Tamandua tetradactyla: one gene and its partners. The protein of the gene in region 1 interacts with the protein of each later gene in a pairwise test. Links are inferred from orthologs where the notes say so. Each region holds a gene or a part of one and is shown in the gene's direction. Other genes may lie near its edges.

What was found.
Region 2: the proteins of NUPR1 (region 1) and PTMA interact in binary tests that used the Homo sapiens proteins (3 or more experiments, as listed by UniProt). The link is inferred for Tamandua tetradactyla from reciprocal best matches to the Homo sapiens genes NUPR1 and PTMA.
Region 3: the proteins of NUPR1 (region 1) and RANBP1 interact in a two-hybrid assay, tested with the Homo sapiens proteins (2 studies listed by BioGRID and IntAct). The link is inferred for Tamandua tetradactyla from reciprocal best matches to the Homo sapiens genes NUPR1 and RANBP1.
Region 4: the proteins of NUPR1 (region 1) and FUS interact in a two-hybrid assay, tested with the Homo sapiens proteins (2 studies listed by BioGRID and IntAct). The link is inferred for Tamandua tetradactyla from reciprocal best matches to the Homo sapiens genes NUPR1 and FUS.

What each region holds. Positions count from the first base shown.
Region 1 is NC_135349.1:24,816,976-24,822,982, forward strand, and holds NUPR1 (nuclear protein 1), read left to right. Parts: upstream 1-4,028; 5' UTR 4,029-4,133; coding exon 4,134-4,248; intron 4,249-4,703; coding exon 4,704-4,840; 3' UTR 4,841-4,853; intron 4,854-5,184; 3' UTR 5,185-5,503; downstream 5,504-6,007. UniProt on the Homo sapiens protein: Transcription regulator that converts stress signals into a program of gene expression that empowers cells with resistance to the stress induced by a change in their microenvironment.
Region 2 is NC_135329.1:207,652,533-207,659,836, forward strand, and holds the start of PTMA (prothymosin alpha), read left to right. Parts: upstream 1-4,303; 5' UTR 4,304-4,491; coding exon 4,492-4,536; intron 4,537-7,210; coding exon 7,211-7,282; intron 7,283-7,304.
Region 3 is NC_135331.1:28,486,217-28,493,872, forward strand, and holds the start of RANBP1 (ran-specific GTPase-activating protein), read left to right. Parts: upstream 1-4,655; 5' UTR 4,656-4,924; coding exon 4,925-4,939; intron 4,940-6,227; coding exon 6,228-6,364; intron 6,365-7,656. Other genes in the region: TRMT2A (tRNA (uracil-5-)-methyltransferase homolog A), read right to left, coding at 339-543, 641-737, 836-1,006, 1,131-1,206, 1,338-1,460, 2,266-2,377, 2,455-2,570, 2,688-2,802 and 4 more. UniProt on the Homo sapiens protein: Plays a role in RAN-dependent nucleocytoplasmic transport. Alleviates the TNPO1-dependent inhibition of RAN GTPase activity and mediates the dissociation of RAN from proteins involved in transport into the nucleus.
Region 4 is NC_135349.1:23,364,102-23,371,806, reverse strand, and holds the start of FUS (RNA-binding protein FUS), read left to right. Parts: upstream 1-4,689; 5' UTR 4,690-4,801; coding exon 4,802-4,814; intron 4,815-6,394; coding exon 6,395-6,419; intron 6,420-6,510; coding exon 6,511-6,665; intron 6,666-7,343; coding exon 7,344-7,488; intron 7,489-7,638; coding exon 7,639-7,705. UniProt on the Homo sapiens protein: DNA/RNA-binding protein that plays a role in various cellular processes such as transcription regulation, RNA splicing, RNA transport, DNA repair and damage response. Binds to ssRNA containing the consensus sequence 5'-AGGUAA-3'.

The sequences.
Region 1 (6,007 bases):
GATCCTAGTATACATGCATATCTACAACTGGCTTTTTTTTTAACCTAACAATGTATTGTGGACCCCTTTCTCATCAGAGCTAGAGAGAGAGCTTATTTTTAATGGCTACAGAGTATTTCACAGAAGGAGGCTGATGAGTCCCCCACTGGGACACTTTGCTTCCTGCTTTTCACCACTGCAAACAAGGCTACAGTCAACATCCTTGTACCTGCATCTTTATTTCACCTGGAAGTCTTTCTGTAAAAGACTCCTGGAAGTCAGGCTCCAATATCAAGGAGTCAGTAGTACATTTACCATTCTTAGCAATACTGCCCATTGGAAGATTGCATCCATTTATTTTTAAAATGATGATACCATACTAAGAAAAATTCCAACACAGCTTCCGGGTTTGAGGGCATCTCTGACCAGGACCGAAGGGCAGACAGATACATCCTGTTTCACCTTATTTAAACATTCCCTTGGTGTACAGCAGTGGCACTGACCCACCTTGATGGCACACCCTGCCTTTGGCCTGGGAAGCTTCACATCCTCTGAGCTAGTGACTTCCACATACCGCCAGGCCATCCAACTTTCTTGATTTGGGTGGTATAACTCCTGGAGTTGGGCATTTCTTGCAGTCTTTCCCACAAATCACCATTCTTGTTCAAGCTTCACCACCTCTAGGATGTCTGCCCTGATTTCACACCCCCCACATCCATCCAGGGAATTCTCCCAGCCCCCTGTGTTTTTGCTCAGTATATTATAATCCAGTATGGGTTATATAATAGGTGTGCTTGGCAACCACATGGAATGTCATAAAGGTACAGTCACAAGCAGAGAAAAATAAACTTCCTGGTAGCTAATTATATATACACCTGGAGGCGAGAGGCTGGGAAAACACACATCTTGACTTTTCCCACTGAGTCACTCTTAGGCCCCACAGGGTCCGTCTTGAATGGATTCCCTTCTCACTTGGCTGCCCTTCCTCCAACCACTCCCATGCTAGAGTCTGTTCTCTCCTCCAGCACCTGCAAGGTCAGGGCCAAGTCCCAGGCTCCACGGAGGACAGTCACAATGTCTTCATGGGCTCTGTGGGACTAGGGTTGGGCCTCGCAGTTCCTGCAGAGCAGAGCATCTGAAAGTTGAACAAGCAATACTGATCTCAGCATAACTTCATGTATTCAGCTGACACTGACTCTTTGCCAGCCATCGATAATGCATTATAAGACAGACAAGATTCCTATTCTAATGAATAATGATAACAGTAGCTAACATTTATTGAATGTCTACTATGTCTTAGGCGTGTGGTAAGCCTTTGTTAAGAATTAGTCTTTAAACCTCACAGCCAACCCCACGAGGTAGATACCATTATGGATCCCTTTTGACAAATGAGGAAACTGAGTTACAGAAAGACCAAATAACTTTGTCTAAGGCAACACTACTGACAAGTGGCAGAACCAAGCTTTAGACCCAGAGATTCCGGCTCCAGAGCCTACTCCTTCAGCTGCTAACTAACCTAAACCCAGCAGTTGCATTCTAGTGGAAACAAATAATGGAGAAGTAAACAAAAAGGATACCTTCAGTCAGCAATCACGGAAGGCTGTGACGAAAGTCACATCAAGTCAGGTTAATGGAATAAAGACTACCTTTATAGAGCCCCACACAGGGGCTCTGTGTGGTGTTTTCCACAGGGGTGTGCCCTGCTGGGCTGGAGGCCACCTCCCCACCCCACCGAGCTTCCGGAGGGCATGGCCGCCCCTCAGCACAGGACCTGGCCCAAGGCCGGCTTTAATGACAGCTTGTGGAGGAGGGAAGGGATCCTGCCAGGTGCCTCCACACACACAGCGGGCCAGGGCTTTGCCAGCGTTTGTCCAGCAGTGCCAACCCCCAGAGAGCGCTGGGGGGGGGCGGGGGGCAGGTAGACTGCGAGGAGGCCCCACCCCCACTCCCCGCTCACCAGCCCTGCAGCCCTGAGCAGCCCACACCCTGAGCCCGGGTCTCCCTTCTTCGCAGAGTGGGGGTAATAGCAGTGCTGGTGCCTGGCTCAGGGCTAAGGCACCCACGGTGGGTGCTGTTGTTTTCGTCACATCCCAGGCGAGGGAACGGACGCAGACGGGGGCCTGAGATCTCACAGGCAGAATCCGGCCAGGCCTGGTGGACCCGCTCCTCACCAGGGCCAGTGTCACCTGCTCGACTGACCATGTTGGCATGGTTGTCGCGGGGACAGGAGACCACGCTAGCTTCTAGCAAGTGGGGTCCAAGAGGCTCAAAGGGCTGGGCCAAGCAGGAGAGTCCCCACAGCGCACTGGGGTGCCCTGCCCTGCTAGACATTCAGGAAGGTGAAACGCAGACACAGGCTGGTAATTTCCCAAACGCAGAGCCTAACTCCATGTTACAGGGGAGGGTTCTGCTACCACACCTAGTGATAAAGCCCGTCCCTTGGCAAGAACACCTCGTTTTCTCATTTTCTCCACATCAAGGCTCGTTAGCTTGTGTTGTCTTTACTAGGGTTAGTTCCCTCTTCCTGTCATCTGGGACCTTATGGTCATCCCAACCCTGTTTTTTTCCCCTTGTGTCCTCCCGTCCGCAGTTTCGTTTCCCGTGTGTTAAAAAACTCACAGATCACCCAAATCTGGGAAACGAGCTAAATTTAATTCTGGCTCAGGCAAGGGAGAAACACAAGCAGAAGTGTTGCTGCTTGTTAAACAGAGGAGGAGGCTGGGTTATTACAGGATTTAGGGGAAGGAGGCAGTTTAGGTTAACACTGAAATGGAACAGGGTTTTTGATAGGCTCAAAGCAAAGTGGGTGTGTGTGCACAGGCTAGCATCTGGCCTGGGCTGAGAAGGGCTGTTTCACTGGAGATTGCAGAGGTTTTGTTTTTTTTTAATTAAAAAGGAGTAAATGGAATTTCCTGTCCATCCAGTTCCCTGCCCCTGGATGACAGGTGCTGGGAGTTGGTATACCAGCCTCAGGGGAAACCTGAGTGGGCAACTGAGGCTGCACCTTCTCTGGGTCAGCAAGATACAGAACTTTCAGGCAAGAGTGGAATATTCTATTTTCACATGTTTCTTATCCAAACTCTTTCCTTAAGTTCATGTAATTAATAATAAGTAGACACCAATATCTACCTCAGTCATATCCATATTTTGGAATACGTATTATCTTATTATAAATTTCCTTTTTTTCTCCTTTGAGTTCTAGTTAGAGTATTATGTTGATTTTAGTTTTGAAATTATGTGACTAACCCTTATATAGTCCTCCATACTGCACCAGGCACTGTTCTAAATTCCTTCCCATATGTTCATTTAATCTGCACACCAACTTTTGTGGTAGATAGAATTCTTTATCAACCTCAATTTATAGAGGAGAAACAGCCCCAGAGCGTTTGAGTGACTTATCCAAGGTCACACAGGAAGTAGTGGAATTGGAACAGGAGTTTGAACCCAGGGCATCTGGCTCCAAGATCTGCACACTTAACCATCTGTAAGCCATACTGTCAGGTGAGGGCACTTACCTAGTGCCCTAAGGAACTTCTAGTAAAAAAGGGGTTGGGGGCATGAACCCAGCACACAGTAGGAACACAAAGGAAGTGGGATTGAACTGGGAAGGGCGCATCTGGATATAACCCCCACTCCATGTGCTGCTATTCAGGCCCTGAATCTAAGCCAGAATGGGGGGGAAAGGGGTGGAGTGAGCTATGTGGTCACGGACCCCAGGCCAGGAGGGGCACAGGGGCAGAGAGGGGGCGGCAGACAGGAAGGAGGCAGCACGGGAGAGACCCTCATGCCCCCCTGGCCCTGATTCCAAGGACTGTCTGTGCCCAGACCCTGCCCCCTTTCCCCTCCTCCCCGAGGGGCGGGGATCTCCTCTGTGGAAAAACACCCAGCTGGGCGAGCCCCGGTGGAGGAGAGGGTGGGGGGGGCCAGGGCTTACGGACCCAACTCTCGTGACTTGTGTTTACTGGGCCAGGTTCTGGGAAAGGGCCAGATTGCATCAGCCAGGGCCCGAGGGATGGCAGCCAGACAAGGCTGAGGCAGAGACACGGCCTTATAAACGGGGAGGGGAGAGGCGCCTGGGAGGGGAACCAGACACAGACAAACAGAGCTCTAGAAGAGGACGAGAGAGGAGACAGGGACGGTGAGGGTCAGAGGCCATGACGGCCACCTTCCCGCCAGCAGCCAGCCCATCCCAGCAGCCGCTGGGGCCTGAGGAGGACGAGGCTCACCTGGATGAGCACGACCTCTACGGCCTGAGCCACTTCCACCTGGGTAAGGCCCGGCCCCGCCATCTTCCTGCCCCTCCACTTCCATCCCTGGCCCCCTGCAAACGGTCTGACCTCCTTGAACTAGGTCCCCTCCTTGGGCTTCTCCCCACCCCTTGCCCTTGTCCACCCAACCTAATCCCTTGACCCTCAGGTCAGCCTGGGGCCCCCAAGTCACCCCCTCCTGATCCCCCATACACTGGACTCCAGGGCCTCACAACACAGAATACTGGAGCAACCACAGAGCCGCCAAGCACCCCACGTTTCCCAAGATAGGGAAACAAGCTGACAGGGGCCTGGGACTGTCCCCAGCTCGTGGTGACCAGCCCCCCGTCTTCTGTATCCAGCCCGAGCACCTGCCCCCCACCCCACAAAGTGGGGACTCAGTGGGTCCCCACTCTCCCCTGAGACCCCACAGCTGCCTCAGCCCCCCTCGCCTCTGACTCCTGCCTTGGTTTCCAGGAGGGGGAGGTCGGAAAGGACGCACCAAGAGGGAAGCGGCCGCCAACACCAACCGCCCCAGCCCCGGCGGGCACGAGAGGAAACTGGTGACCAAGCTCCAGAATGCAGAGCGGAAAAAGCGAGGGGCCCGACCCTGAGGCCGAGCTGGAGGTGAGGAGTCAGCGGGGTTCCTTCTGCCTCCCAGAGGCAGCCAGCAGGCGCCTGGTCCCGGCCTGGGGGAGGAGGGGTCTGCAGCGCTCCTGGGCTCTCACGGGAAGAGGAGACACACCTTTGGCTCTGAATTTCCTAGCGGCCAGAACGAAAAGGGAAACAGAACCTTTCCAATTGGAGGGAAATTTGGTTTACAACTAGAGAAATGAAAGCCCAGAGACAGCTGGGCAGGTGTCTGGAGTCAACAGAGCAAATGAGCAAGGAAGACAGAATTAGAACCTGAGTCTCGGGCCCTTTTACCACGTGCTTTCCCGTCCCTCCCCCACCCCAGGTGAAACCAGAGCACGGACCCCACAACACCAGCAACGGAGACAGAACTACGGAGACCAGACCACGGAGGAATTAGGGCCTGGGGGCAGGACCCAGGCCGGCTTGTCCCCCTCCCCACCCCCAGAACTCACCCACCTAACCAAAGCTCTCAGGGCCACCAAGGGGGCACCCCAGACCCCCCAAAAATGGCAAAATGGGAGCAAAAGACAGGGAATGGACAGGCAGAGTCAGGGAGGGGCCCCCCAAAAGGGAAAGACGCTGGAGAAACCAGAGCTCCCCCAGGGCAGAGGCGACAATAAAGAGATCAAGTACGGCAGCTACAGCTTGTGTGGTTTTATCCTCCCCTCTGCGCGTTTTTGTTGGGACACGTCTCTGCCTGCCTCGGTCAGCATTTGCATGAACTGATGAGAGAGCACTTTTTGTGGGTCCATATTTGGTGTGTGGATTTGGGCGTATTCCTGTTTTTATATGGCCCGCTCCTGCCAGCTGTGTTTTGGTGGGTACCTTTTGTGGTTTCTGATTGGGTGCAGGGAATTTCCTGTTTCTCTGCAATGCTGCCCAGGAAACACACCCCTCCCGCTTCCCACAGGTTCACTGAATAACAATCTTTTGTTTATGTTGTGCTCGAGAACAACCACTTTTGAAGGACATGCTATTTATGGGTGCTATCTACAAGGTAGAGAAAACTGAGATTTAAGACACTAAAAGATTCAGAGCTCAGGTTCAAGGAGTTTTAGTCTGTCTGCAAGAGGTAGGTCTCCTTGTCCGGGGAGCTGCTGGGACTGGGTTCCCGGAGACCAGCTGGGAAGGACGAGTCTCACTCG
Region 2 (7,304 bases), on another chromosome or scaffold:
GGGTAATAGGTGTGTGTCCGTGTGCTCCTGCAGCGAATACCTTCCCTGTCGCCTGAGGCAGGGCCTCCTCACACCCAGACAGGAACTAGAGCTCAAGGAAAATGCCTGTGGAGCTCAAGCGATGCAAACGTGTGCCTGGACATGAATGGGTGCAGGAAAGAGGAAGGCTGCGGACACAGGTGGGGCACCTGCCCAGAGAGCCCAGGAGGACTGGGCCCTGGCAGGGGCAGAGTTCTCTGAGTGCACACACACCACCCCTCAGTCCCTTACCTAGACTTGCAACAGGCACCCCAGGCCTTGGCATCAGTTTGGGGTAGGCCTACAACATCAAAGGATGGGTCCTCCACCAGCCTCTGCCAGGTGGGAGCTTCCCGGGGCAGCCAGACCTGTATGGGACAGCTGAGCCAGGCCCTCTGGCACAGCTCCCTGGGAAGATGGGTGGACAGGGCAGGCAGGCCCGGGCGCACAGGGCATGGGAGCGGGGGGTGGGGGTGGGGCACTTACACAATCCCGCCCGGGCTCAGCAGGGAGGGAGAGCTGAAAGGCCCCTGGCAGTTCCCCAGGCCCTTATGCCTGAAAGGAAAACACAGTGGAAAACTCCTGGGTCTCTGATGGGAGGGAAGGCGGGATTTCTTGAGGCCTTCTTAACTCAGGTTGCCTCCCAGACTGTCATTCTTCTGAGGCCAGAGCAGGCACTGAGCAGGCCAGGCATCGAATCACAGGCTTCCAGAAACTCAGCTAGGTCGGTGCCCTCATTTCCCACTGAATATGGGAAAAATTTGCTGAAGAGGCTGTTCCCCTGCCCAGGGTCCTGCAGATACTATAAAACCAAGCTGTACAGGTGGCAGCTGAAAAATGGGACCCTCAAAATCCCAACTGCTTTTTCTGTTAACTTGTAAATTTCCCAGTCACCCTTTCAGGAAGGCACTATGCTGGTTGTATCCATTTCTTTAGAAGTGAGGAAGTAACTTATCCAATTCCACATAGCTAACATGTGGCAGGACTGGGATTTGAATTCAGGCACTTTCACCAGGATTTATATTCTTCCTGGTCACACGGAACGAAGCAGAGTTGGAGATCACCAATTAGGAACAGGCTGCAAAGGGCTCAGAAGCAGGGATTGCAAATTTAAATGCCTCCAGGGCCAGGCAGGTGAAATAAATGAGTGACTCAGACTGGGTCATAGGCTGTAAACAAAACTGGCCTGGAGGCCATTTGGGGCCCCAGTTTAGAGGCACTCCAAGCTAAGCCCTGGGTTGGACAGGAAATGCGGCCTGCCAGGGACACCCAGCTTGTCTTGGAGCTGCCTGGCCTTCTCTGTAGCATCAAAGAGCAGGAGACGCATCAATGAGTGGAAGTGACAGGGGACAGGAAGACCAGCCCAGTTCACAGACAGCAAGGAAGCCTGGAAGTTGCCTTGGCTGGAGGAATGAAGGGCTTCACAGCCTAAGTAACTTCACCACTTATAAGCACTCAGATACAATCCCCCTACAGCCAGGAAAACGCCAGAGGGAGCCCTACACTCCAGCACACACCAACCCAGATTCTTTCAGACTAGGATTTTAGTCCCAGCCCAGGCACTGACTCACTTGGTCACTCCAAGTCCCTTGCTGGAGTCCCTTGGTCTGCTTTTCTTGATTTGTGAGAAGGAGGGTGACATCCCACTAGAGATTGGAACTATAAACTGGCTAATATTCAATGGGCTTTGACCTACAAAAACATCATTTTCAGATGATTCAACCTCATAATTTCCCTACACACCTTTTAAGTAAGAAAATAAATGAGAAGGCTTGCAGCAGGAACCAAAAGCTTCCTGCCTTGTACACAGTAGGGGTTCAGTTAGTGCTTGAACAACGTAAATTGGCCTTGCTAAACGGTCCCCTCAGCCCTTCCCGGAGTTCCCCAACCTCCATGAAAGCCAAAATCCAAGGCGGTCATAACTATTTTCCAGCTGTGGACACAGAGGTGACTGCCCAAGGCCACCATGCAGCCCGGAAGTCTGGATACGTCTAGAGTTGGCCCGGGCCAAGCGCTCCCTGCCTCCGGGTTTTGTGGATTTAACAACTTCCTCGAGGGTAACCAGAGTTTAAGGGACGCGCCGCAGGTAGACGGCGCTCTCGTGATGGGTTTACCCTGCCACGTCATCTGAGGATGTGGCCCAAAGGCGGGGGTCGGCGGCGGGAAGGGCCCGAACAAAGAGTTGGGACGCGTGGTCCTCAGGGACTCCATTGTGAGAGTCCCTAAAACTGGCGCGGTCCCAGCCCGAAGAAAATCCCAACTCCACCTTCCGCTCTTGGGGCGCTCTGGGGCAGGGCGGCGACCCGGGGGACGCCCCCTTCCACCGCTGCCGCGCGCCGGGAACTTGATGGCGACCGCCGGGCAGCAGGAGCTGGCACGGCGCCCCCGCCCTGCCCAGCACCTGCCTCATGTTTCTCCCGACCAAAGGACAGGGGTCCGGGCTTCTCCCCCAAAACCAAATTGTTCGGGAAAGCCCCAGAGGCCAGCGGACAGACTGGCAGATGTGCGCGGGGATACGGGCTTGACGCGTGCGGGGCGAGGGGCGCGTGAGGACGACAGGTTGGGGGGTGCCCCGGCACCCCGCCCTCGTCCACAGTGGCCGGGGGCCCGGGGGAGGCAGCCCGGTGAGTCTCTGGGAAGCTCGGCCTCACCAGGAGAATAGGGCCAGCTCGACTTCGACCTAAGAGAACCGAGAAGAGAAACTGAGCCTCTCCTCGCCCCTGGCCTCAAACTGCTGGACTTCGCATTCGTCCGCACTCCAAGATCCCATATTCCGGGTTTTCCCCCATTCCCAGATCGGCAGCCCCAAGAGACAGACAGTAAACCCGGCCAATAGCAGCACGCAAAGCGTCAACTTTGTGTTCGCCCGCCACTCTGGGCCAGTGTGCGCTCATTTTTCCGGAGTCCCGCCTTCCGTGTCGGGCGCCCCCTTCTGGCACCGCAAGGCCGAACCTTATCTGTCGCCATCTTGTGTGTGGCACAGGTATTTTTCTGGAGTATTTTCTCACTCTGGTTTTTCCTTCCACCCAGCAGATTTCTTAGTTCGACAGCCAAGTGCAAGTGCGGTGGCGATAAAGAGGATGCAGCCTACAGTTTTCGAATACTCGGTGTGGGTTGGCGTGCCACATCACGCCACGCCTGCCGAGTCCAACGCCATCTTGAGCGTGGCTTCTTGATGGCTCCCTTCACGGGGCTCCGCGTGGTTGCTATGTGGCCCCAAATTTCAAGGCGCCCCTAAAGACTAGCGTAGGTGACCTAAGGGACGAGTATTTCCCCCGATAACCACGTAATGGGGAGGTTCACGTGCCCCACGCAACCCTGAGGCAGAGTGGGAGACGAATAGACTCGATGTCCGGGTGGGGCCCTGGAAGGAGGTTGCCCCGAGCTGTCGCGACGACAGGGACCACTCAGGACAGGCGCTAGAGCCTTGGGGTGTAGGGGACTCTTTTCGGCGCGAGGCCCGCGGGCTGTCCCGGTCGAGGGGTGACGTCTGTCCCGGCCCCTGATCCTACCCTCGAATCCACTCGAAGCACGAGTCCCCGAGTGTGTATGCTTGGCAAGGTGCCCGTTCGTCGGCCACTACAGGTGGCGGGCGCGGGGCTGACGGTGGGCAATAATTGAATCACCTCCCCACGAAGTCCCAACGCCCGGGCCTCGGGAGCGGGTGGGGGTGCGTGGTGGGGAAGGGCGGGGCGGACCAGGGGCGCGGGTCTCGCCCTAAGCCTTCGCCGCACGTCGTGGAGCTGCCGCCCATTTGCTCGGGGACAGTTCTTAGTGGAAGGTGCCCCGGCGCTGGGGTGGCATCTCCATGGGGACTGCGCAGGACACTACCCCGGGCGAGCGCAGCCCAGCACCCGGGCCCTCCCTTCCCCCTCGTAAGCTGCCGTCGTGCACGCCCGCCGCCCCCCCTCCCCCTCCTCTTCCCTCCCCCTCCTTCCGAGCAGTCGCGGGGGCGGGGGGCTGGGCCGGCAGCTTTGCCGCGCTTCGGCTTTCTGCGTCAGCAGCCCCAGCAAAACAGCCGCGGGAGCGCGCGTCCCTAGCGCGCCCGCGCGCCCTTCCCCCGCGAGCCTGGCGCCGCTGAGGCCCGGCAAACTCAAGCCTTGAATGACAGTGCGGCCCGCGACTGCGCAACGTAGGCCGCGCGGAGGCACTGCCGCTTTAAGCCCGCTTGCCCATTGTTCGGCATCGAGCCAATCAGAGAGCGCCCGCTCCCTGCGTCCAGCCAATAGCGCCCAGGTAAGGGAGGCTGAGCGCCGCCCACTAATCTATATTAAAGGTTCTGGCGCCGCGTGAGTTCCCCACTGGCTGCTCGGAAAAGCCATCTTTGCATTGTTCCCGGTCCGGCTCCTGCTCCCCGCAGCCGCCTCCGCCGCCGCGCGCCACCGCCGCGGACCCCGGCAGGTTTATAGCTAGAGTCCCCGAACTCTCGCTTTCTTCTTAATCCGTTGCTTCTGATCACCGGCGTGCCCCATCATGTCAGACGCGGCCGTGGATACCAGCTCCGAAATCACCACCAAGGTGAGGCTGGATGCCGCCCGCCCCCTCGGGGTCCGCGCGCGGCGCCGGATGGGTGTTTGGCGCGCGGCGGCTGGACAGCCCCAAGTCTGCTGTTCTGTCGGGCGGAGAACCCGTCGCTCCCGGCCGGGTTCCTGCAGGCAACCCAGTCTTTGTGTGTGCGGGGGAGGGGTCGGGAAACGCCGCGGGCATCCGTGGTGCCCGTCGGAGAGCGTTCCGGGCGCCCTCGGGAAGCTGGGGAGATGGGCGCGGAGGCGGCGAGCTCGGGCAGGCCTGCCTTAACGGCTCGCGAAACTTGTTTGTCATTCGTCTGAGTGGCGGCGGGAAGAGAGGCCGGGCTGGGGTCGTCGGCCCGCGGGGCGCACGGAAATAACTTTGAAACTCGAGCGCGTTGGGAATCGGAAGTGCTGGGGGGCGCGCGTGCCGGCGCGGGCGGGCTGCGGGAAGTGGCGGCTTCTCCGCGGGCGCCCGCCGGCGGCGCTGCTCTTTGTTCGGCGCCGGGCAGCCCGTTTCGCGCCCTGCGGCGGGCCCGAGGCGGGTTATCTGGTGCTCCGGCGCCGAGACGTCAATTGTCCCCTCGGAGGTATGAAGGTCTCTCGGCCTCCGAGCCCTCGGGGGAGGCGGGAGTGGGCGCCCTCCAGGGGGAGTGCGCAGGGAGCGGCCGCCTAGCTTCAGTAATCCACCGGCGGCACTGGGTTTGGCTGAGGAGGGTATAAACCCACGCGCCTGAAGGGGGGGAAGCCGAAATTGAAGGAGCCGCGCGCCGGGGCTACCATGGACGCCCCCCGCGGCTGCTCCGGGGGCGACGGAACCTAACAAAAGCTGCGACCGCGGCAGGCCAGTGGCTGGGCCGAACGGTGCCGGTGGAGGAGGGGTTCCCGGGGTCCGCCGTTGCGGGTCCAGGGCCCTCGGTTTTGAGCTGTTATCTGGTGCCGCTCAGTTCCTGCTCCCGCTGACGCGGGCGGAAGGTCGGGCCGCGCCGCCGCGTCGGTGCCGCTGTTTGTACCGGCAGCGTTTCCACCTTCGGCGGTGCGCTGCGTTTGAGACCGGCTGGCTTTTTTACCTTTCGGTCCTGGTTTGCGCCCCCCTTGCCCCGCACCCCCCACGCACGGAGCGGTGGGAGTCACCTTGGCGTCTCCTTAACCCTTCTGCTCCTGTAGACATCTCCCGTCGTCTCCCAAGGCCGCCTCCCCTGGCGTAGCGGAACTGACGGCCCGGTTCCTGGCAGGGCACTCGCGGGCCGGTTCTGGATCCAGCCCGGGAACCAATTCATAGGGAGGGTCGGAGCCACTCAGTACGCGGCTTTTGCGTCCACTTTCTTCCAGGGGAATTTCCCGCGGGAGGCAATAAATATCCGGGTGGGATGCGTTCCGACGGCCTTGGGAGCGGGGCTGAGAGAAGTCCCGAGGGACTTTGCCCGCCAAATGCGGAGACGCAGGCCCACGCTTCAGAGGCTGCTGAGGGGAGACCGCAGAGGGCGTCGGGCAGTCGGGAAGGGCTGGCGCGCTGCCCGCGGCCTCGGCAGGGCAAGCGCAACTCCGGGTCTCCAGGGCAGCCAGGGGCGCACTTGGCGGCCCGGGGCCACGTGCTCCGCGCGCGCGGTGCGTGCCGAGGCCAGCGCGCAAAGCCCGCCGGGCGGGGAGAGCGCGCCTGCGCGTCGCAACCTCCCCGCCCCCACCCGCTCCCCGGGGTTTCGGCCGCCAGGGGGCGGGAGCGGGCGGTGCCAGGGGGCCGCGGCAGCCCCTCCGCCCTGGGAACCGGCCCGGCGGGTGCCCCGGGACCTCTTGCTGGACGGCGGACGACTCGGCCGCGCTGGTGGAAAAAGTTACGCGGTTCAGGGCACCGGTGGCGTCACTGCTCTTTGGAGCTCGGGCCGTGTCGGCTCTCCTGATGTCCTGCGGAGGGTGAGAAAGTGGGAGGGGAATGTGGGGCTCACGCCAGCGGCGTTAGAGGCCGGCTCCTGGTCCGGCCGGTGCACGGCTGGGCAAGGTAGGGGGAGGCCTCGGACCTGGAGAGCCTGCTCCTGTTTCCCGGCAGTGGTCGGCGGACTTCATAGCGTTTGGGGTCTTCCCGATACCCTGCTCTCCAGATCCCGGTTACCCAGGGCTTGGAGCTCACCCGAGTTGCTAAGAAGCGGGAGGCCAGTGGCAGCCCCTATCCTTCCAAGCCCTTCTCTCCTAGTCTACGCAGGGGGGTTTTCCCCATGCTGTTGGGGCTCTTCCTTCACTGCCTTATTTATTTATGGCACGTACCTGTTACTTTCCAAGAAGGATTTGTGAGAGGTGGAGCTCTCCGTGGTTGGAGACAAGTCTGTGGTGGGCGTGAGTGAGAGTGAAGTGTCTGTGGGCTCGTCTGCCCGGCCAGACAGGTTTGGGGCTGTGGTTGCCACATGGCTCCTGTTGTAAGAAGCAAGGGGTGAGGGAGGAATGGAACAGCCTCAGGGGCTTCTGGCTTTCAGTGCTCCTTCCATAAGTGAGAGATCGGCAGGCTGGAGCCTGGACGTGCTTCGTAGCTCCTGAGATTGGCTTGTTCCTCCTTCCACTGGCTCCACGTGGCCTCTTGGCACTTTGGTCCAATAAATCAGCCTTACTGTAGTCCTCAGGCCCGGATTTTTTGTTTTGTTTTGTTTTTTGTCGCGGGGTAGCTCAAAGGACTTGTTATCTTTTCCTTTTTGAAGGACTTAAAGGAGAAAAAGGAAGTTGTGGAGGAGGCAGAGAACGGAAGAGAGGCACCTGCTAATGGGAACGCTGTGAGTGTCCACCTGCTTAGGA
Region 3 (7,656 bases), on another chromosome or scaffold:
CATGGCTAGGCGGGCTCTCAGCTGGGCCTGGGGCCAGCAGGAGCCAGAACTTCACACTGTGCCCATGGAGTGGCCCTGGTATACCATGGCACTGATCACCAGAGAATTGTCCTTAGTTCAGCAGCGGTTTATTGAGGCCCAGCTCATGGGGCTGAGGGGAGTGGGAGGCTGCTGGTGCCCGCTCTGCCCTTCCGGCCGGGGGTCCCGTGGCCTATGCAGCCAAGGCTGTCCTCTGCATGAGCAGGGGTGTAGGCAGGGCCCGTGGAGAGCCCCAGCACGCCAGGCCAGTGCTGTTCTCAAGTCCAGCTTCCAGTGGTCCCAGAGTTGGCCTCAGAGGCCTAGGAAGATGTGGGGGCCCCAGTCTCCTGGGAGGTGTCCAGGGGCCCTGGCGGGGGCAGGGCCCCTGCACCATCAGGGTGCTCCACTCGCTCGAACAGGATGAGCATTTCGCAGTGTGGGGTTTGCGGAAACAGGTCCACGGCCACCGCCTTGACCGGCCGGAAAGGCATCCCCTTCACACGGTTGGAAGGGGCCCTGCAGAGGCTGTGGGGTGGGGGTGGACGGGGCGTCAGGCCAGCCGAGGGTTCCTATGGGAGGCCCTGGGGCCCAGCCCTGATCGACCACCCCCTTTCCTACTCACTCCACAAAGTTGCCCATGGCCGCCCGGGGGTTGCAGGAGATGTAGAGGAGCCGCCTCAGGTTCTCAGCTCTGCGCACAGCCAGGAGCACCTTGGAGTCTGAGCACAGACAGATGGGGGCCCAGTCACTGAGGCCCACTCCCCGAGGGCAGCAACCTCAAGGTGAGGTGGATAGGGGGCCAGGAGAGGGTACTCACGCAGGCCAGCGCGGGGCGGGTCCAGGACAGCGACGAGCTGTTGGGCAGCCAGTCTGCTCACCAGGGCAGGCACCAGGTCCTCGGCTCTCCCGCAGTGGAACTCAACGTTGCTCAGCTCTGGGGACAGTGTGGCAGCTGTGAGGACCTGCCGGCCTCCTGCTGTCCTGCCCCCTGGACGGTGGGTGCACTTAGGATCACGGGAAGCTGTTCTGTGCCCTTTGACCCCAGCAGAGGCCCTAGAGGCTGTGCTGGGGGGCACCTATCACCTCGTCCTCCCGGGCCCACCTGCCCTCACCGTTCATGTGGGCATTTGCCCGGGCGTCTTCCACAGCCTCCTGGCACAGCTCAACCCCAATTACCCTCTTCACCTTCTGAAAAGGAAGAGTAGCAGGCCAGTAGCTCCCCACCTGGAGGCTTCCTGCACAGGGCCAGGTGGGTGAGAAAAGGCCCTGGGGCCCAGGCAGGGTCCACGGGCAGGCGGGAAGGGGACAGCAGGGCTCACCCGGGCCAGCGCCAGGCCTATGGTGCCGGTGCCACAGCACACGTCCAGCACTGTGCTGCCTGCGTCCAGCTGGGCCCACTCTTGGACCACAGTGTAGAGCACCTCGGCTGCTGGCGTGTTCACCTGGAGCAGCGGTGGGCAGGAAACGTCACACACGCTGCCCAGAGGCTACCCCTCCTTGGACCCCACCCCCGGCAGCACCCAGACGCCCAGCACAGCCCCTCCTACTGTGACCTCATGACCTTTCTGCACCCATCCTTTGCCATCAGCAGCACTGAGCCTCCCACCAGCTCCCCACCTCTAGCGCCCCACTTGTGAGTGCCCAGGCCCTCTCGGACGGGCCCTCTGTCCACACAAAAGCACTAACCTCACGGGTCTTGTGGCTTTAAAGACCAAGTAAACTCCCTGATCTACCTCCCAGGTAGAAGCAGCTGACTTTCTGAGCACCGGCCCCCAGGCCTTGGGGACTCATGTGCCAGCACACCAGCCTTCCCCTCCCAGCAAACGGCACTGCCAGCTTTTCAGCTCAGACAAAACCCCAGGTAAACAGACACCCCGTGAAAACAAGAGACCACCTGCCCCTTCCCCTACCCCCATTTCCCTGCAGCAGCAAGGCTGAGATTTAGGGGTTACCCTGGCCCCAAGACTGCAAGGGCCTCCCTGGTGCTGTGCCCAGAGGCACCTTGGTAGGTGTGCTGCCCTCGCCTCCCAGGACAGAGGGGGCTGCTGCAACATGAAGGCTGTCACCCTGCTGCCAAGACTCAATTTCTGGCAGTTCACGCAGTCTGCCCTCATAAATGCCTGCTGGGAGGCACCTCCCCAGAGCTTTGACCGTGGCCCGGGCCTGCCCTGTCCCCACCCTGTCCCACTCTACCCCACCCGTCATCCTCCCATGGGCACTTGAAACCCACGGAGATGCCAGGCGCACCTGGAAGAAGGCATGAGGAGAGATCTGAAAAGTGAGCCCCAGCAGGTCCTCGTGGATGTACTTGTCCCCAGCCACGTGCTCCAGGGGCAGGTCCCCCTGGCTGGGGGTCTTTCTGTAGAGGTTGGGGATGGATCCATCAGCCTGGCCGACCAACGCAGGTACCCGCCCTGGCCCACCCTGGCCACTCACCGCTGCCCCTCCTCCACGAAGTACAGGCAGGTCACCCCACTGGCCCTGCCCGGCCCTTCTACGAAGTGCTGGGTGAGAGAGGCCTTCAGCTCTGCCAGCTCTTCTTGGCTCAGCTTCTGGGGTTGCAGAATAAGGCCTCGTCAGGGAATGCTGCCTGCACTGGCCTGGGGCATCCCCAACACATCTGAGCTGAGGAAGCACCTCTCCACCCCCGTGAGACCCCTGACTGGTACCTGGGGGTGAAAGTAGGCAATGGCCATGGCCTGGCTGCGGCGGCTGGTGCGAACAGTGAGCTGCCTCCAGTGGCCTGTATATGTCTCTGGGTTGTATGCTGAGTATGGGCTGGACCTGGGGAGGCCAAGGGTGGCTCTGAGCTGGCAGTGTTCCAAGCCGCCTGCCTGCCCAGGATTGGGGCACAGCCACCCAACTCACCAGCTGCCCATCTTCTCAGAGACAGTGGGATCTCCAGCTCCCCAGGGCAGGACCCCAAGGGCCCGCAGGAGGTCCCTGCTTCCCAAGCACCTATGTTCTTACCGGATAAACTCCTGAAAAGCCTTCACCACCCGTTTCGCAGCCTCAGGGATGTGCATGGTGTCGAAAGGGGATGCCACGGCACACGTCCCGCCCTTGTACTTGCCAAGCCGGCAGCCGACAGTGTTGTCCTCTCCGTCCACTCCCACGCCGACCAGAAACTCACACTTATTGCGATACTCAGTCTACACGAGGAAAGGGGGACAGGGAAAGGCATGCCTGACCCCACTCAGCATCAAGCACTCGCCAACAGGGCATCGCGGGTAACAAGGCACCTGGCATGAGACTGACAACTGCTAAATCACATCACAAGCGAGGAAAGGGATAAAAAGTAGAAGAGAAGGTTGTAAGAGAGTGGGATGAAGGCTGTGACTGCATCAACCAGACCTAACCTGCAGAGGTGACGGCCTGACCCCCTCCAGCGGGCAGCAGGCCTTGTTATGCTTGTGCCTCTGTGCAAGCAGCCACGGCAGCAGGGCGCGGTTGGTACTCCCGATTTCCCTGCAGGACAGGTCGGCCGCAGTTGGACTCGGGCCACCGTGCAGCCCTTCCCTCCACATGCCCAAGCTCTTGCGCACCTCCCTCCGGACCTCACTGCCTAACTCTGGGTTGCAGTGGTCTCCACGCTGAGGGGTGGCGAGGGCAGAGTAGGCCACGGGGACACATCCATACTCACTTGGCCAGCTTCTGCAGCACCTGCTCACACTCTCTGCGCTTCTGCTCCAGCTGCTCCGCGTAAGGCACTGTCCAAAGTGGGGTGACCACGTCTGCGATGCACGTGGCCGGGAGCAACCCCTCACCCTCCTGCCGCTTCTTCCTGGCTATAGGGTCGGCCTTGGGCCTGGCCAGGCGCACGCTGAGCGGGCGGCCCTTCCAGAGGGCGCCATGCAGCACACTCAGGGCCCGGTCCCGCTCCGAGGCGTTGCGAAAGGTCACGAAGGCGCAGGGCGGCTGCCCGAACAACTTGGTCTTGTGGGGTCGCAGCCCGAAGCGACCCAGGAAGCGCCGTACGTCGCTGAAGCTGGCGTGGCGGGGCACGTTCTGCAGCTCCAGCTTGAAGATCTCCGAGGTGAACAGGTCGTCTCGGATGTAGCCGTAGAGCCCGGGCTCTGGGCTGGCAGCCGCCGGGGCTCCAGCCTCTTCCCCATCCTGCGCGGGCTGCGGGGGGCTGCCCTGCGCTTCGCTGCGATCCTGCAGGCAGTCCTCCATGGGCTTGGGGCCCTGCGTGGGCACGGCAGGCGCTAGGAACGAGAGCGCCGGCTCCAACAGGCCCCCATCCCCACCCCACCCGGCTGCACGCCCGGACCCGCTTCCGTGTCACCCCCATGCCTCCACCGCGCCCCACCCCCACCCCGGTCGGACCTCCTTTGACTTGGCTTCGTGGTCGGACGTGGCACTCATTGTCCTCCCGTTGCCATGTCCTGGGACCCACGGGAGGCGCCGCCGCAGAGCGGGGACGGGACTCGAAGCTCGGGGCTCTGCTCCGAGCTCTGACCTCGGGCTACGCAGCCCGCCCGTCCGCCAGCGCGGGGTTCCGTGCCGCACTTCTCTAGAGGCCCGGCTTCTGGCGACGTCATCGCCACGCGCCGCACCCGAACCGCGTCCTCCCTCGCCAACGCGAGTGGCTCCGGGCCGCGGGGCGGAAGTGCGCGCGGGGGCCGCCGGGAGTGCGCGGGAAGCCCGGGGTGGGCGGGACAATGAGAGCGTCCGCCGCCTGGGTCAATAAAGCTGCGCTGGTTTTGAATCGCCGCGCGTTTCCCGCCGCAGGGGTCAGGGGTCAGAGTTCGGGTCACCGCGCGGAGGGAAGAGCGGGCGGGCGGTAGGTGCTGGCGCCAGACGCGGAGGGAAGGAGCCCCGACCAGCCGCCGAGAGGCCGCGGAGCCAGCCACGACCGAGCCAGCCGAGCCGCCGCCGCCGCCGCCGCCGCCGCCGCGCCCCCATGGCGTCCGCCAAGGTACGGCGGGGCTGGGCCTGGGCGGGTGGGACCGAGGGGCCGGGACCGCTACCGGCAACCACGTGGGTGGCCCCGCGTCGCCAACCCCCGCCGGCCGGCAGGGAGCGCGGCCTGCGGGCACGCGGGGGCTTAGGGCTGCGGGGAGCGCGGCCTGCGGGCACGCGGGGCCTAGGGCGCGGGTTGGGGGTTGCGGGGCGCCCGCGTGACCTTGGGGCGGCTCCGGGGAGGCTCGGCCGCCCTAGTTCCTCGGTCTCGAATTCGCCGACCCCGCCTTCCGGGGCCGCGCACAGGGCGGCGGGGTCCCCTCGGGGGCCAAGCATCCCTTGCCGCCGCCGCCCACGCAGCCCCCCCATTCATTCCGTCCTAGCGCCCTGATGCCCCGCGGGCCAATGGTGGTGGAGGCCCGCGTTGCAGCGGGGTGGACGGGCCCCCGGTCTTGCGGATCCTGGGCGGGGGCGGCTTTGTTGGCTGTCTGTGTCGGCGCGGTGTGCTGACCGCCGCAGTGCCTCCAGACCCCGGAAAGGGGGCCCGAAGCGGGTTACCTTTTCCTTCCTGGCACAAGTCTCGTCACCAAGCCTCGGCGGGTCTTGCGCATTGGTAGATGACTAAGGCACACGTTTTATGAAACTTGGACCCAAAATACGGTATTTTCTGCTTTGTGACTCAACGCCCTGAACTAGAGTTTACGATTATTAGTTGCGTAGTGATTCCTTAAAGCCCGATAAAATTGCTGGCAAAGCTGCGTATTCCGTGTGAAATAACGGCGCTTCCATAGTAGACTTTTTATCTTTCAAAAGGAGGAGAAAGGAAATGTTATGCCAAGTATATTTGTTCCCAGTGCCCTCTTCTAAGTAAGTAAGAGCACATATGTTTCTGGCTTGCTTCATGGGGAATCCACAGCCCGAACCCATGGTTCACGCATCACATCCTTTTGTGCCCACACAACAGAATCATCTGCATTTGGCAGACAAGGAATCTGGAAACTGAGGCCCAAAGAGACTAGAGGGTGTCTGCCGGGCCACTCACTCGACAAGTGGGTGGTTGCGTCCTGGGAGTCTGTCTGTCTGCAAATGTGACTAATTTGTGTGTTGGGGGAGCGGTGTGATATCCAGTGTCTCACATTCACACGCACCTGGTGATTCTCTGGAGGTGCACATAAGTGCAAACCATTCTCAGTGAAAGGCTGTGGGCTACTTTCTTCCCTGGGGGTGAGTCCGCCCTCTTTTCCGAGGCCCTGCAGCCCTGCCTCGTGGGTAGTAGTGTCACCTCTTGGCCTGTCCTTCCCCAGGACACTCAGGAGGACCATGACACCTCCACCGAGAATGCAGACGAGTCCAACCACGACCCCCAGTTTGAGCCTATTGTTTGTCTTCCCGAGCAAGAAATCAAAACCCTGGAAGAAGACGAAGAAGAACTTTTTAAAATGTAAGTAGGCCAACAGTCCCTTTGGTGTAAACTCAAAATTGTGGTTTTTACGTTTGCCAAATATTCTGCCTCTCCTTTAACTAGCTCAGGGCTATTTGGAGAGAGTACCTAGGTTTGCAGGAGAACTGATCTTATGTGGAAGTTCAGAGCTACAACTGGGATTAGTTCACTTCATTAAGCCTCTATGGAGTCTCCCCCCAACTTCCTCCTGTCGCATCACTGCTGTTCTGTCCCCCAGCTTGTCTCCCCAGCTCTCATTTCTTGGCCCCTTCCTTGGTTGAGCAACGAATCTCAGCCTTTGCCTTGTGTAGGCCATTGGCAGTTAACCTCATGAATTCCGGCTCGTAATATTTTAAAACCTAAAAGGTAAGACCTAGAATCACATGGCAAGACGGGTGATGTTTGGATACAGTTGTCAGGATTATTTTTTACTTTTTTAAAACCACAAAAGTTGTGTCTCATTCATAACTCAAGTGCATTGCCCTGATGTCAGGTGTAAGCGCTGTACTGAGGGATGTACAGCAAAGCACCCATGAACAGGTCACAGCACTGCTGGTCTGCGCCTGCTGCCAGGCTCCCAGGTGTGGGGGACACTGGATTCTGCTCAGGGTAGTGGAAGTAAGGTGGCTTTCATGCGCAACCTGTATAGGAACTCTTGTTCTGGAAGGTTCGAATGCTTTGCTGTGGGGCTGCAAGGGAGGAGAGGCAGAATCACCACACAGTGGTGGCCTTTCCTGCCCAGGGGAGGGGCGCTGGAGGGGGCAGCCCCCTCTCGTCATAGAGAGGAGTGGCCATCTTCCTGGAGCCACTGGTTTGCCAGGTGGGAGGTGGCTCTGGGTGAGGGCTTGCAGGAACCCTAACCCTAAGCCTACTTCTGTGGGATAGGTGTGCTTCTGGGTACTGGAAGGGAGCGAGGCCGCAGATTGGGGCATTGTGTCTTGGCCTTTGGCTCCCAAGGGCTGTCTCGATCAACCACCTGGTAAGGATGGAGACTCCCTTAATGGACTTGAGATTAGGGAGAGAACAGTCTCCTGCCCTGTACCCAGGAATCTGGCAGAAAGGGACTACCAGAGGCGGGCAGCAGGCTAGGGTGTTGGTGTGTGCCCAGGGCATGGCTGTGGAGCTCTCTGCAGGGTGAGGACCAGGGCCTTGGCTTCTGAATGGCTGAGAGGGTGGCCGTGCGAAGTGCTGCTTCTGGGCAGAAGTTCTCTCTGAACTGGGAGCTGATTGCAGCTTCCATGCTGTTCACTTCATGAGGGCACCTGCTGTTGTGGCCCCACAGGTTAAGGAGA
Region 4 (7,705 bases), about 1.5 Mb from region 1:
TCATTCCTGGGAGTCATCTCCCCTGCTGCCAGGGAGACTTTCACTCCTGGACGTCATGCCCCATGTAGCGGGGAGGGCAATGATTTCACTTGCAGAGTTGGGCTTAGAGAGTGTGCAACCACATTTGAGCAACAAAAGAGGTCAGAAGTAACTCTTAGGCATACCTATAAGGAGGCTAGGCTTCTCTGCTACCTACAACAGCTTAACAAGAGTAAGCTTCAAGATCAAGGGGTTGGCCTATTGATTTGGGTGTCCCTAAAGTTTGACACATTATCTGGAGCTTCCCTGGTGGTAGAGTTTAATAGTTCTGTATTTTTAATTCCATCCCTCAAGGGATTCTGCCAATACTTTTTGATTATCTGCTTAATATATTCTAGGATGTACCCACGCATTACATTAAACTACACAGGATTAAAGACCCTCATTCTTCTTCTGGGCTGCCTGTGTTTTGATTGTTGAAATGAGCTATCCTGACAGGTTGAGTTAGATTATGTGCTACAGAAAATTTAGGTTCTGGACAAAACAAACCTTTCTTCCGTTGGTCTCAAAGAGCAGGTACTGTTCTAAAATACAGACAAAGTCTTCCTTCCAATGTTCTGAATTACCTTAATCCTGACCTGATCGGCTTCATTAACATCAGATTATACATATATAAAACCACCTCTCAAAATCCAGAAATACCACCCCCATCTTTTTTTAGCTCATGGTATAGCTGTATCACATTGCTCCTCAACCTTTGTCCCTACCCTCCTCCTCCAGGGAACATCTGGCAAATACTTGGAGACAATTTCGGTTGTCAAACTGGGGGTTTGGGGGTTGTTACCGGCATCTAGTGAGTAGAGGTCAGGAGTGCTACTAAATATTCTATGATACACAGGTTAGCTTCCCACAGCAGAGTTATCTGACACGAAATCCCAATAGTGCTGAGACTGAGACATCTTTCTGTTTAATAATTAAGTCAACCAGATCCCCTATTGATGGGCATTTAGGTTGTTCCTAATCTTTTGATATATAAATGCTGTTGCAATGACAGTGGTTTAAACTGAAGTTCTTAGCAGCGGGAGACATAATCTACTTTATGTAGTTTAAGCAAAAAGAGATTATGATAGGTGGAGAGATTATTACAGATGGTTGCCAAATTTCTGGGAGGGTCAAGGAGTCAAGCTTGGACATTTCCCAACCAGTATTACAAACCAGGTTAAGAGTCCAGCAACAGCATAGGACTTTTCTAGTGGAAATTCCAGGGCTGTTGCTTCATGCATTTGGCTTCTGTGATACTAAGGATGTTATAACTTCCACCAGAGCTATCCCTGAAGAATCAAAGGTCTCAGCCACTCTACTGGTCAGAATCTGAACTTCCCATTTGCGGCTGCTGCCTCAAATCTTGTGAGGTGCATTTGCTTGACAAAACTGGGTTGGAGATGACCCAAAGTATGGGCCTGGAACTCAGGAAAGTCAGGATTGGACATACACATTTGGGGGATGAACGCATGACATGAATGAAATCACATTCCAGATCACATTTTAGTCTACAGCCAGAGTTTTTAACCTCTAGAGTTAACTCCAGAAAGCTTCTGAAGATAGCATTCAGCAGTTCCAAACTTGAATGAGAAAATATTGTCCTTATTTTCACTTACCTTTAACTGCCATTTAACATTTTTTTTTCCCAATCTGATGACTAGGGGAACAAATCACAGCAGGATTAGCAGTACTAGGGTGTTCACCACGTACAGAAATCTCATAAATTTTCAGATCACATCACAGACGTTACAGATAATATTAAAATATTTTTTACATTCCAATGTACTTCAAAATTACAATTATTAGACTTGCCAGTAGATTGTTACATTTAATGCATTAGTATATTACAAAGATATTTTAAAACAATATTTTGACTACTACTTCCATTTAATGTTTTCTTTGCATTCTTACGTAGGGAGTCTCCTTGATATTACAAGTGGTGAATTACAAGCGCGTGCCCCAGCTAAAGGTGGTGGCTTCTTCTTCAACTTGACCCTTGTCCTATGAGAATGTGGGACCAGGACGGTCAGAACCTCCAATTTTCAAGAAAAAGCCAGAAGTTTGGATTTTGATGTAACATTTTTCTATTTCAGTGTTGGCAACTACTTAAAAAAATTAAAATACAAGAGGATAAAAAGAAAAGAAAAAATATACATAACAGGATATCCTAAAGTAGGCTAAATTAGATGTCAGGCTGCAGTTTGGGCCTTGCATTTTGAGGGAGAAGTTAAGAAGGCTGAAGACAGAGCCTCTGGTGAGCAGAGAAAGAGAATGCAGGAGGACAAGACAGAGAATCAACAGTGGGAGAGGTGGGAGGGCTGGGAGCAGGGGTGTCCATTAAGTAGAGGTCCCCATGTTACATGCTCAGGTGAAACTCACTGAAAGAGTTAAGTCTGGTGACATGGACCCTGTACGGAGACTTTCAGGGGCCCCAATTTGATCCTGCCACCCCCCATTATTCTGCCCATGAATACCCTTCCCCATCCATACCTTTGTCTCTGACACTCCTGCCAGATGCACCCTTTCTTCTCTTCATGGTTGGTGAATTACTTATCCTGCAAGGCCTAGCTTCAATGTTACCAAATTATCTCTACCTTTCTGTCTACCTGGTACATGACTTGCTCTCTCAGCAGAGTTTCTGGAGTCCCTCATTCCATGTTAGAGTACTTACCACATTTCTTTTAGGTTCACTTTGCGGTCTGTGTCTCATTTCACCCCTGGTCATAAAAGTCCTACGGTTTAGGGACTGGATCTTCTTTTATCCTCTCTTTGGGTCTGACCCCTGGCTTGCACATGCTATGCAGTGTTCAAGCAATGTTTGCCCAAGCAGGAACTCTGAGTCAGACTGACCCATTTGGGCTACTTTCTGAGTAGCCCTGGCAGGGCGTTCAACATTTTGTGCCTAGCTCCTCATCTGTAAAATGCAATTCTCACACCGACCTCCACCTCGTAGGTTTATTGTGAAGAATAAGATTAAACAAATTATACTCAAAGCACTCAGAACAGTGCCTAATACTTAGAAAGCCTTTTGAAGTGTTAGCTGTTATAAAAATATATATACAAATATGCAGAATACATGAATATTATCATTGTTAAATGTTAGCTTCATTATTAAATGTTAGATTCAGGGTGGGCCACGGAGGTTCAGCAGGTAAGAGTGCTTGTCTGCCATACCTGAGGACCCGGGTTTGATTCCCAGCGCCTGTCCATGAAAAAAAAAAAAAGTTAGATTCATCTGTTTTGTACACTAATATATCCCTAGAGCTTGTTATAAATACTGAATAAATGAATGAAACGAATGAGTGACACACTTCCCTTTGCCTTCACTCCGGAGCCACATTCCCTTCCTATGGGGTGGGGTGTTCAAGGGCTAACAGATCACTAATCAGGCCTGGGGCACAGCCCTCACTGTTTCTCTTGGAAAACGCCTACTTTCTACCCAGAAATTTCTAGAACCCAGGCCAAAGGTAAGTTGCGAAGGAAACTGCCTGGCACGCATACCCAGGAGTAACGTCTTCTATTTTATTCAATAGTTTCAAATTGCCTTTTCCAGGCAAGGCTGATTAAAGTACAAGTTTCAAGTTAATTTTTTTGCCCTTGCTTTCATGGTGAGTGAACAGGCTTCCCAACCCTCCAGAGCGTTCTTGTAACCATCTAAAGGAGTGTTTTGCAGTTACACAGACTTGGGTTCGAATCACGACTTGTTGATCCTTAGGTGTACTTTCATCATTGATTGTATCTGGCAGGAGTCACACTTTTCTTATCTATCAGAAAATGGAGATACCTTCCCTTTCTTCCCAACACTGTGATGGGAAAACAACTTTTTGCGCATTTTGAAGCCACTTAAGCGTTATACAAAATGGCTGTTATTACTGGGATCTCCAAATTGATTCTGTGGTGGGCCTTCAAGAAAATAAAAAGTAGCTCCGTATCAGTCAAGGGCAGAGGCCGGGAACTCCTGATGTAGAATCTGCGAGTGCAATGTCACCGGAAGGGCTGGGGGCAACAGGATGAGAACTCAACGCCGGACTAGATTATGACCAAAGGGTCTGGCAAACATCATCTATGCTTTGTTTCAGGTCAAACGTCACAATTCACAAGCCCTCACAGGGGTGACCAAAAGGTATCCCTGAAAGAGGATGAAGTGAAAACCGAGAGGCCGGGAGGGAAAGGGTCCGTGGGTGTTACTGGGGGAGGATCGTTAGAATCAGTGAGAGTGCGAGAGCGCAGGGGAGGCGGGTGGCCGGAGGGACGGTGCGTCGGGAGAAGCGAAAATGCAGCTGCAAGAAGGAGCTCGCTATCCTAAGTGAAAGTGCGGCCCAGTGAAATGGGCAAGGCAGAATTTCGGTTCCTGCCGGGCCACTCCCGACTGTACTTCCGCTCTCAGACGCCTCGGGCTCCTCGCCCCGCCCCCAGCGGGGGGCCTCAGGCTGTACCATTTTGGCCTTTTAGGGGTGAAACTGAATAATCGGCTAGGCCTCCCGAGGGAATCTGTGGTAGCCACCAGAAAAATAAGATTGTGTATTATGAGTTGCACATTTATGACCAATCTTCTCCCTCTTCGTCTGCTCGGATCCCATATATTTCCTGGAGCTTGGTAGGCGCCCCATCGTGCTTCCCCCTTTCTTTTTCCACATTTGGTACATTCCCCTGCGGTACGTAGGCGGGGAGGCGTACATAAACCTCGACGAAGAAGGCGGGGCCGCTCAGTTCTCGAGGCGTCGGTGCTCTGTAGTGTTGGAATTGTGTTGCTTGTCGGGCCGTTTGCGCGTGCGCGGACATGGCCTCAAACGGTAGGTAAGGGCGCGTGGCGGGGGTGGCATGCTAGCCTGGGAGTTCGTTCCTTTCTTGCTGGGCCTTAGTTTTTTTCTGGGACCGGGATGGCGATCGCGTGTGGTGGGGTCGTCTCTACGGACCATTCCGGCGGGAAGCAGCTGAAAGGGTGGAAGGTGAGGGCTGATGTCGCCATTTTGTTTCTCTTCCCTGGCGCTTCTCGCGCAGGGCAGGAGATATTTCCTAACATTTCTTTACTTGAGGTGGGGAATGGAAGGGGACGTTTCTCTGCGTTTTGGAGCGTGAGCCAAGGTGGAAGTGCTTAGTCTCCATAGCCTTCCTTCCTTTCCCTCGCTCCCAGCCTCGCATTTGGGCCCGCTTTGTCGCAGTACTGCATCCGGGTACTCCGCGCGCGCACGCGCTCTTCTGGCCCCTCCCCTTCCTCGCGGCGCGTACTCCTGCCCGCCTCGTGCTGGCCCCGTTTTTTGTCGCGAGACCCTCCGCGGGAGACCCCGCAGTGCGCGTCCGGTGTGGGCTTTGCCCTCCCAGGCCCCTGGGGAGGGGGTGGAACCGCCCAGTTCCCGCCTGGGTTGCCACGCGGCCGGGGGCGGAGGCTCGGCGCTTAGGCCGCGCGCCCGCTTAACGGTCTGTGGGAGGGGGCAGCATGGGGGCTTGACCAACGGACTACGGAATCTGGCCCGACATTTTTCCCGCCTAAATTCCTTTTCTCTGAGATGGGGATGGAAAGGAACATCCGCCCCTAGCCACACCTCTTTCTTCCTTTCTCAGCGAGGGAAGCACCTCATTTCCTGTCCTAAGCAGTTGAGTCGATTTGGATACTGTACCTTTACTGTGGCGTTTTAAAAGCGCTCTCACTAGCTTGGGTTCGCCGAATTTTTTCTGCAGCTCCCTGGAAAGCAGAGTAGATGAGAAAACGGACGCCATTGGGCGCCTCAGGCCTGAGTCTTGCCTTTTGAGCAAGCTTCTCGAAGGCCGATCTCTCTCTCATTTGGTATCAAAGGGGATCGCTTTTGTTTTCTTGACTGCGCTAAAACCCCAATTTTGCCATTCTCAATGATTGGCCAGAGGGCGAAAATGGTCTCTATTGAACACGTTCTTGTTCTTTGGATCTCAGTTGAGAGAATGGAGGTTGCTTCCTCGGGCTTGAATTCAAACCTGCCCCAGGTAGCTCTGTGACCCTTGGCAGGTTATCATATCTTGAGTTGTGGGTAGTTGTGAAAATGAATTTTGTATGTAAAATGTTTTAGTGCAGTTTCTGAACTGAATTAAGTTTGCAGAAAATTGTAACTTGATCCTGGAATTTTTTCTTGCGTAGTGGATTAAGACTCCTTGGTCTTCGCATAAACACACTTTTTTGGCATGACCATCTTTCTTTGATGATCATCTACCAGCTTACCTTTCCTTCCTTCCAACTAATGTCTTATAGGGGAAAATTTATGGCCTTTTTTGCACCATAGTTTTTGCTCATTTTCTTGATTTGGAGGCCCCAAGTGCTGGAGTTAAGGGAATTTAGGGCTCTGTCACACTCTCAGGGAAGACTGGCTGAAGGTAATGTGAATCTTTTTTTTTTTTTTTGCAGACTATACTCAACAAGCAACGCAAAGGTGAGTGTCAATTCTGGACAGTTCGTTGAGGGCAGGGTGGCAGAGGTGTATTTTTCTCATTGTATTTGTTTTTGCTTTGTTTTGCACCCAGCTACGGGGCCTACCCCACCCAGCCTGGGCAGGGCTACTCCCAGCAGAGCAGTCAACCCTATGGACAGCAGAGTTATGGTGGTTATGGCCAGTCGGCAGACACTTCAGGATATGGCCAAAGCAGCTATGGTGGTTCTTATGGGCAGACCCAGAACAGTGAGTCTTTTAGTGGGTCACCTCACCTGTCCCTGCTCTTTCTGAATGTTGCCTTTCTTTTAAATCGCAGTAGTGCTAAAATGTTAGTGCCATTTGTTCCATGTTTCTTTTCTCTTATCCGGTCTATAACTTATAACTTCTTAGAAACTTTTGAAAGTAAAAACTTTTGTTTTAAACAAAAATGCTTAATGTTGCTTTGTAATTCTATGCATTCCTTTTTCTTCGACTGTTTTTTCTATTTATGTTGTACTTTTTCCCATTTTCAGCATGAAAGTAAAATAAGAGGGGAGTGTGTCACCTAAAGAAAAACAATTTTAGGTTTGGTACTTAATAGGGAGGAAATGGCTTGCTTGAAGGTGTTTTAAGTTAGGCTCTCAAACTTCATGTGATACGGTAGGAGTTGAAATTTGCCCTGGGGCCTTTAAGCATATAACTTTCGTTGCTCATACATTAAAATGCTGTTACTAAGTAGGATTCGTGTGGGCTTAAATTAGATCATGATCCTGAAGACTGGGTTTTGGGAGGCTGAGATATACTGTCCTAAGGAGTTGGTACCTTAGCCTTAGAGTAGAAGAGAAGGGTAACTTGTATTAGGAAGAACGAAGTGGCTTTTTTCCAACCTCTTCTTTGCCCATTCCTCTCATAGCATTTGTGGCTCCCTTTTTCTTTGCCTTGTAGCAGGTTATGGCACCCAGTCAACTCCCCAGGGATATGGCTCAACTGGTGGCTATGGCAGTGGACAGAGTTCCCAATCGTCTTATGGGCAGCAGTCCTCCTACCCCGGCTATGGGCAGCAGCCAGCTCCCAGCAGCACTTCTGGAAGGTAAGGAGGGGTTGGGGGAAGACCTGGAAGATTGGGGCTGAATTGGTAAGGAGTGATAATGAAACAATTAAAAGAAATGGGAAGTGCTAAAAGTGAAGGAAAGTTTTGGGTATTATGACATTTTCGTTTTGGTTTTTTCCTTTCCTTTAGCTATGGCGGCAGTTCTCAGAGCAGCAGTTATGGACAGCCCCCGAGTGGGGGCTATGGGCAACAGTCC